Canis lupus familiaris: one gene and its partner. The protein of the gene in region 2 purifies or fractionates together with the protein of the main gene of each other region. This does not show direct contact. Links are inferred from orthologs where the notes say so. Each region holds a gene or a part of one and is shown on either strand. Other genes may lie near its edges. The genes, in order: LARP1 and NFX1.

Region 1 (3,906 bases), on a different chromosome or scaffold from region 2:
ATAAAATCAGGACTTGAAAAACTGCCTTAGCAGTCGATGTAGACTCTCCAAAGAAAGGGCCACCAACTAACCTTACCAGACAGAGAGTTCAATCACAAAATTCTCCCTCAAAAAGCATCCAGGCCCTAATAACAGGCTTAAGCAAAGCAGCTACCGGATTAATTGAGAGTTAAGTCTGTCAAAGACTAGTCCAAAGGTTCAAAAACCAACGAGCAGACTAGACGCTTTCTTGCCTTAAGACTCCTGAAAAACAAAAACAGAGCAAAACTACTAGGCTCAGAATTTTGCTTTGGGCACTTAAAGCAAGTTGGCTTCTCCACTCCAGGGAAAGGCGAGATGCCAGCCAAGCTGTCTTCTTCCCACGATCAATAACCCCAGTGACGCACCCTATCAAGGGTGCACTGCACTTGCACAAAATGCCAGCTCAGGCACCCAATACCTCCTGATGTCACGGCTGATTTAAAACCCACAAGGCAGGTTCACCATTAGCTAAGCAGCAGCAGCAGCCAGGGTGAGTAGCCCCATTTAAACTTCTGAGGAGTGCTCTCTCCTGGGGATGATTATACCCCTTTGAGTTTAAAGACGGGGGAAGGACCAAAGAGTGTTTTAAAGTTGATTTCCCTCCCTCTGTGGGTGGATCAGGAGGGATACGCAAGAAAATGGAGGTTTCGGCACTGCCCTTTGCATAAGAGGGTTCTGGAAGGCAAAGGGGGGAAGGGGAGAGGGCAGAAGGAAGAGAGAACACGGTCTGAGGTATCATTAGTAAACGTCAATGTCCCCTCCTCCAAATGAAGCAACCTTCAAAGAAATAAAAATTGCAACATGCTATTTTCAGAATTGGCTGTTCTGGTTTCCCTAGGACTACGAGAAGATTCTAATCCCCACCTCGAATGCGAAGGCCTTAATCAGCTCCCTCTTCAACCTCCACCAGTCCCCCTCGGCCAGCGGCTGCAGAAGGGGAGGAGTTCAGCCCCGCAGGCCCCCCGCTGTAGCCACAGGCCGGTTTCGCTCCGGATCCACTTCCAAAGGGAAGCCGAGCGCGCCCCCCGCCCAAGCCGGCCACCGAGGCCCGGCCGGCCTCCGGGTTCCGCACCGCCTTCCCCCGCCCGCCCCCGCGCTGACACGGCTCCGCGGCGATCTCCGAGGGCCCGGGGCCGCAGGGCCGAAGCCGCGAGCCGCAGAGGCAGGGCGCGGGCAGCGCGGCGGCGGTCACATGCCGCTGCCCGCGCGGGGAGGCACCACGCTGTCCCGGCTGCGGAGGAATGCCGGGAAGGGGGGCCGCGCACACGCACCCCCGCGGCCCCCGCGCACACGCACCCCCGCGGCCCCCGCGCACACGCACCCCCGCGGCCCCCGCGCACACGCACCCCCGCGCCGCCGCCGCCGCCGCCGCCCGCACCCGCCTTCCACCCCGAACGCACAGGCCCAGCGGCCGCGAGCAGCCCGCGGGCCGGCGGCGCGGCGCATGGCGCCCAACTGTCACCCGCCCGCCCGGCGCGGCCACTCCCTCCCCCGCCGCCGCACGCCCCTCGGCGCGCCGCGTGCCCCCGGCCTCGCCGCCCATTTTCCGCCTCCCCCCGAGCGGGTCCCCCGCACGCCCGCCGCCCGGCCCCCGCTCGAGGCGGAAGGTCCCCGGGGCCGGGAAGGGAAACCACCGAACCCAGTGACACGTTGGGTTTCCTCTCCTCGTCCCCGTCCCCGTCCCCGACCCCTCGACCCGCCGCCCAAGGCGATCCTACCGCCTACCACCAGCCACCACACAACAAAACTTGCTAACTTTCCGAGCCCGAATCCGTGCGGCCGGTGCGAACGCCTCGCCGGAGCTCCGCCGCCCCTGACATATGCTCCTCAAACATTCACAACATGGGGCCGATCGCGGCGCTCCCGGGACGCGAGCGCGGGGCGGGGCGGGCGGGAAGGGGGGCTTCCCGGGGAGGGTCCGGCCGGGCACCGTCCCCGACACCCACTCGCCGGGCCGGGGGGCCCGCACTGCCGCCCGCGCCCGCCGTCCCCCGGCCGGGTAGGCCCGCGCCGCGCCGTTGCCCGCCGGCCGCCGAGGCCCGGGCGCTGGCCGCGGGCTCCCGGAGGCCGGGCCCCGGCGGGGCGGCTTCCCGAGCGAGCCGGGGGACGGGGCGCGGCGGCCCAGTTTAAACGGGAGGCAATGAAAAAGGAAGGAGAGAAAAAGGCCCGAGTCACGACGGCCGGCGGCGGACCCCCGGGCCCTCAAGGCCGCTGGGGGAGGGGACGCCCTCCTCCCCGGAAGAGGTCCCGGCCCGGGCGGCGAGCAGGCGGACCCACCTGGAGGGGACTGTCCGTTCACCGCGGCCAGCGCCGGCGGCAGCGCGTTCTTAGTCCACGGGTTCACCTTGGGCGGAGGCGCCTCCACGAAGTCCCGGCGCCCGGCGGCCGCCGCTCCGCCGGCGCCCGGCTCGCCGCCGCCCTCCTCCCCGTCGCTGACCGCCAGGCCCTCGGCGCCGGGCGGCGGCGGCGGCGGCGGCGGCCGCGGGCTCTCGCGCTCCGGCGGCCCGGTGCCCTCCTTGTGCGGCTTGGCGCAGAGCGGCCGCGGTCTCCGGGCGCCGCCGTCCGGCTCCCCCCCTCCGACGTCGTTCGCCCCGGGCTCGCCCTTGCCCTCGGCAGGCGGCGGCGGCGGCGGCTTCTTCCTCACCAGACCCCCGTGCTCTTCGGCCTGCAAGAGCGGGGCGCCCCCCGGCAGCAGCGGCTCCACCTGAGTGGCCATCTGCGCGCCCGCCCCCCCGGAGAAGCCGCCTCCCCCGCCGCGAACTTGGCTCTCAGGGCACCCGCGACGCCTTCCTCCGGGCCGCCGGGCCCCAGTCCCTGCGGAGAAGGGCCGGGGCTCCCGCTAGGCGCGGCTCCCCTCGCGGTCGGAGGCAGCCGCCGTAGGTCCGAGGCCCGCTGGCGGGCGGGGGGGGGAGGAAGGCCCCCCACTCTGCGGTCCAGGCCTCCTCGGCGCGCGGCCCCCCCCGCCCGTTCCTCGCTAGGCGCCCCCACCCCGAGCCCGGCAGGCTTCTCGTCCCGTCCCTCCCTCCCCCCCGCCGCCGGGGCGGCCCGGGCTTCCCGGCTCGGGGGCTGCAGCAATATGGACGGACGGGGGAGAGGCGCGGCGAGCCGAGGCGACCACGCGATCCGCGGCAGGCGGCGGGCGGGCGCGCGCCTCGCGACGCGGCGGGCGAGGGGAGGGGACGGCGCGGCGGGGGCGCGCCCGCCGAGGCCGGCCCTGGGCGGCGGGCGGCGGGCGGCGGGCGGCGGGCGGGCGGCGGGCGGGCGGAGGCGGCGGGAGCGCGCGCGCACGGCCCCGCGGCCCCGCCCCCGCCCCCCGCCCCGCCCCGCCCCTCGCCTCCGAGGCCTCGGAGCGCCTCCCGGGCTGGGGGGTGAGGGGTGCTCCGGCCGGACGGGGGCGAGCACGTGCCTGATGCAATTCGGGAGGGAGGGCGACGGGGGGGCGGGCGCAGAGCGGGGTGGGGGAAGGGGGGAGGTGTCTTAAAGGGCCCGCGCGTCGGAGCGCCCGCAGGTGGAGCACATGGGAACGGGCCACGCGGCCGAGCGGGCCTGCTCGCGCTCTCCAGGCTGGCTGCGCCCGACTCGGGAGTCGGAGCCATTAACGTCACCCCTGACTTACAGGGCGAAGGAGAGGGGTCCCTATCCACCTCGAGGACGCGCCGACGCTGCCGGCTCCCCGGCGCTCCGCGGGCCTGGCCCCTCCGGGGCCCCGCCTGGGTGACCTTGGGCGAGCCGCCCTCACCTCCGCGGGCCGCGCCGGGCTCCTCCCCGCGGGCCCTGGCCTGGACACTGCCCGCAGTCGGGTTCGACGCCCGGCCCGAAGGCAAGCCCTTAACCCTTGGGGACAAGGGTGCCTACAAAGTGGGGACGGAATTACCAACAGCCCCC
Region 2 (3,806 bases):
TAAACAGTTGCTCCCTCCCACCAATTTCACAGAACTCAAGAACAAGTAGATAAAAGGCAGTTGAAACGACTTACTTTTTCCTTTCCAAGGCTAAACACTCCTCATCACACTCCAGCCTTGAGAAACAAATGAAAAAAATAAAGTCAGGGCACAAATTTCACAGCTCCTACCCAGCAATAAAACCTGGAAACAGAGCAGACTCTCTAAAACACAGCTGCATGAGGTCCCTCTCAAGGACAGGTGGGTGAGCTTCTGGGTTATAGGAATCTAGGGTTCCTCAGAAGGGCCTCAAAGTGTCTCCAAAATGCTCCCAATGACTCTCTGACAGCCCCACATCCCTCTGTTGACATAGCTGGTTCTCTGTTCTGTGAGTTGGGCTGGATATATCTAGGTCTCTGCTTCCTCTGGCTATTTTAAGAAAGGCCTAGAAAAGTCTCCTCTGGTCGTAGCTATATCCTGAGCAAGATTCAATGGATTGGAGTGTGGTCTCTTATTTATTTTTTAAAGATTTTATTTATTTATTCATGAGAAACACACACACACACACACACACACACACACACACACACACAGAGGCAGAGACATAGGCAGAGACATAGGCAGAGGAAGAAGCAGGCTCCATGCAGGGACTTGATCCTAGGACTCCAGGATCATGCCCTAAGCCAAAGGCAGAGGCTCAACCACTAGGCCATCCAGGTGTCCTGTGTATGGTCTCATAACATCAAATGTCTGTTCAAACACCTACCATGTGTGCAAGGCTTCACTGTGGGAGATTGAGATAAATGAATGGTTCCTGCCCTCTGGAAATTAATTCTAACAGAAGACATACATTTTAAAAATTACCTGGCTTGGTGAATTTCTTTCTTAGTAATTAACTTGCTGATTTCCACTGAATCTCCAAGCTGCATGTCTGTTATTTTAGAGGCCATGGAAATAGCAGCTATTCTGAAGTATAAAAAAGAAAGGGAAAAAAAGGTACTGTAGTTTCACAGAAATGTCCTAATATTAGGACACAGAAGACTTCTTTCAAGTTACTGGACAATTCATGTGGCCTCAGAAACCCATCTATTATGAACTATCCACACATTTATGTCATATTTCCTCAATTAGATTCTAAGCAGTTCCATCAGAAACAATGAATAGTCTATTCAATCTCCTTGAATATCCAGTATTCAAACCCATTGATGTCAAAGCCACTCTGATGTCTTCATACTCCAAAATTCCTATCTCCATGACACATATCTGCATATGATTACATGTGTCTGATTAGAGACACACACAACCATCCATCCCTAACACCTTTGCCTCCTTACTGAGATCCCTTTCTGACCACCTGGCCCCAGGATTTCAGGAGGCTGAAAAGATAATTCACAGAATAGTCAAAAACCCCTACTGCAGAGGAAGAGCACAGGACTTGGTCCTGACTGGATCACCCCAAGTGACGGGACGTTAAAGCAGTTCATGCAACTTCAGGACATCATCCCTTTTGATCTCATGGTGTAGTAAGACCAGATGGGAGAGAGGGGAAGAGGAAAAAAAAATAAAAAGATTATTTTAACAAATGAAAGTTAGGGAAAGAAAGGGACACAAAGCAATACTTTTTCTTTGAACCAGAAAAACTAGATTCAGGAAAAAATGTGATGTGATGTGATGTGATGTGATGTGATGTGATGTGGTGATGTGATGTGGTGATGTGATGTGATGTGATGTGATGTGATGTGATGTGGTGATGTGATGTGGTGATGTGATGTGATGTGATGTGATGTGATGTGATGTAATTATTTATTTATTTATTTATTTATTTATTTATTTATTTATTTATTTATTTATTTATTTATTTATTTGGAAAATTTATTTAAAACAACTTTCCAGGTGTGCCTGGGTGGCTCAGTTGGTTAAGCATCTGACTCTTGGTTTCAGCTCAGGTCGTGATCTCAGGGCCCATCAGGCTCTGCACTCATTGGGGAGTCTGTTTAAGATTCTTTCTCTTTCTTCCCCACTCCCACTGGCTTACACACAAGCTCTTTGTAAAAAAAGGAAAAAACCTTCCAAAGTTGACAAAAATTGCAAGGATTTGACAGTAAACAGGTGTCCCCTCTGTATACTGAGACCCACCACTGTTAACAATGAAGTAGCACTAACCTTTGATAAGTACTGGATGCTTCAGAGCAAATCATCATCTCCTTTCTTCGTCCACATTCACACTGCAGCTCTATCTGAAATAAGATTAACATGGACCAACTTTTACAGCATGGAAACCATGCAAATAGGCAGGTTTCACTTTTAAAGCCTCTCCCAAATCAAACCATGGCAGAGGATACAGACATTGAGTGGCTACCCTTCAGGATGGGGGAAGCTAACCATATACACAAAACAACAATGTGGTAGTTGACATGCTAGGAGGAACTGTTCACTCTACAATGACCCTTTCTGGGAACTACTCCTATCCTTAACTCTACCTGAAGGGGCAGGCTTAGAATGAAGCTTTACCACTGAGCCTGGGCCAAGACCATCCAAAGTCTAATCTAACCAAGTCCGCCTCTTTCATTTGCTTTCATCTCTTCAGGGAGGCCTTGCTTAGATCCCTCAGACCAGGCTAAGTCTCCCTACACACAAACTCTCAAAGCACCCTCTATAAGGTATAACTTCTCATTCACCACAGTCATAATTCATTATCTGAGTAGGCAGTCAGTATGTGTCCCACTAACTGAAGGGACATGTGTGTCTCCTGTTCACTGGTATGGCCCCAGGACCTAGCAAAACATATTGCACAAAACACTTAAAATTTGTTGAATAAATGGAGTGGCCAGAGTCTCTCTTGAGAATTTACTCTAAGGGAGAGAGGCAGTGACTGTGGTCAGGTGGCACTGGGGGGTACCTTCTGAACTAAAAGGCCATATCAAGTTGGGCAGACAGAAATCTACTTACTCCGCTTTTCTCTTGCTAACTTAACTTACTTCCTTGCAACCAATTACCTCTGATTAGAATGTGTGTCCAGGCACCTCTGCAGGTAGTTCTAGACTCATGAGAAGTCCCAGAACCATAATCAATGCCCTATCTAGAGCCAGGAATACGCACCTTGGCTTTACAAGCAGTCATGGGGCAGGGTGAGCTGGGGTGGCAGGGCGCCATACACGGGTGGCCACAGTCAGCTCTGGGGGTAGTACAGGGCTGCTTGCAGGGCTCATCCACAAGACACTCTCCTTTGTGACAGAGTCTCTGACACTTGTGCATCCCACATGGTAGCGTGGCACTGCAGGGTAATCCGCAAGAGATATCAGCCAGGTGACAGGGGATGTTGCTTCGTAACTAGGAGAGACAGAGTAGCCAGATTCTTATCTCCATGTGGTATCTGGGTGAGTTTTAATTTCCTATTTAAACATTTCTAAATTTTCAAAGTTATTATTATCTGAAAAAAATTAGGCTGATCTTCAAAATCTGAAAGGTTAGCTTGAAAATAAACAAATCTGAACCTTATTTAATGATATTTGTTATGATCCAAAAGAATTTGTGCTAGCAACCAAGTGTGACTTAAAACATACACTTCCAGGGTGGGTAACAAGCACATGAAACCAGGTAACTAGGGAATATTTGAAAATGCTAGGAGACCAACTGAGGGGATCAGATGATCTCCCCACCACTTTCCTTTACAAATAGCTAGGGCACTGAGTTGACACATGAACTCAGAGGGTTGGGGATACCCTTGACCCATGGTTTCAAGACTGCTGGCAGGGCTCTTTTACATAAACAATTAAATATTCAATTCTCCTCACATCTTTCAACTCATGGTCTCCATAGCTTTAAGC

Evidence for each region.
Region 1: the proteins of NFX1 (region 2) and LARP1 purify together in Homo sapiens (affinity purification with mass spectrometry, with the first as the bait; 3 studies listed by BioGRID). This does not show direct contact. The link is inferred for Canis lupus familiaris from reciprocal best matches to the Homo sapiens genes NFX1 and LARP1.

Annotation. Positions count from the first base shown.
Region 1 is NC_049225.1:55,910,405-55,914,310, forward strand, and holds the start of LARP1 (la-related protein 1), read right to left. Parts: upstream 2,753-3,906; 5' UTR 2,738-2,752; coding exon 2,299-2,737; intron 1,852-2,298; exon of another isoform or gene 1,842-1,851; coding exon of another isoform or gene 1,778-1,841; intron 1-1,777. UniProt on the Homo sapiens protein: RNA-binding protein that regulates the translation of specific target mRNA species downstream of the mTORC1 complex, in function of growth signals and nutrient availability.
Region 2 is NC_049232.1:50,683,537-50,687,342, reverse strand, and holds part of NFX1 (transcriptional repressor NF-X1), read right to left. Parts: intron 3,357-3,806; exon of another isoform or gene 3,310-3,356; coding exon 3,079-3,309; intron 2,217-3,078; coding exon 2,143-2,216; intron 946-2,142; coding exon 844-945; intron 117-843; coding exon 75-116; intron 1-74. UniProt on the Homo sapiens protein: Binds to the X-box motif of MHC class II genes and represses their expression. May play an important role in regulating the duration of an inflammatory response by limiting the period in which MHC class II molecules are induced by interferon-gamma.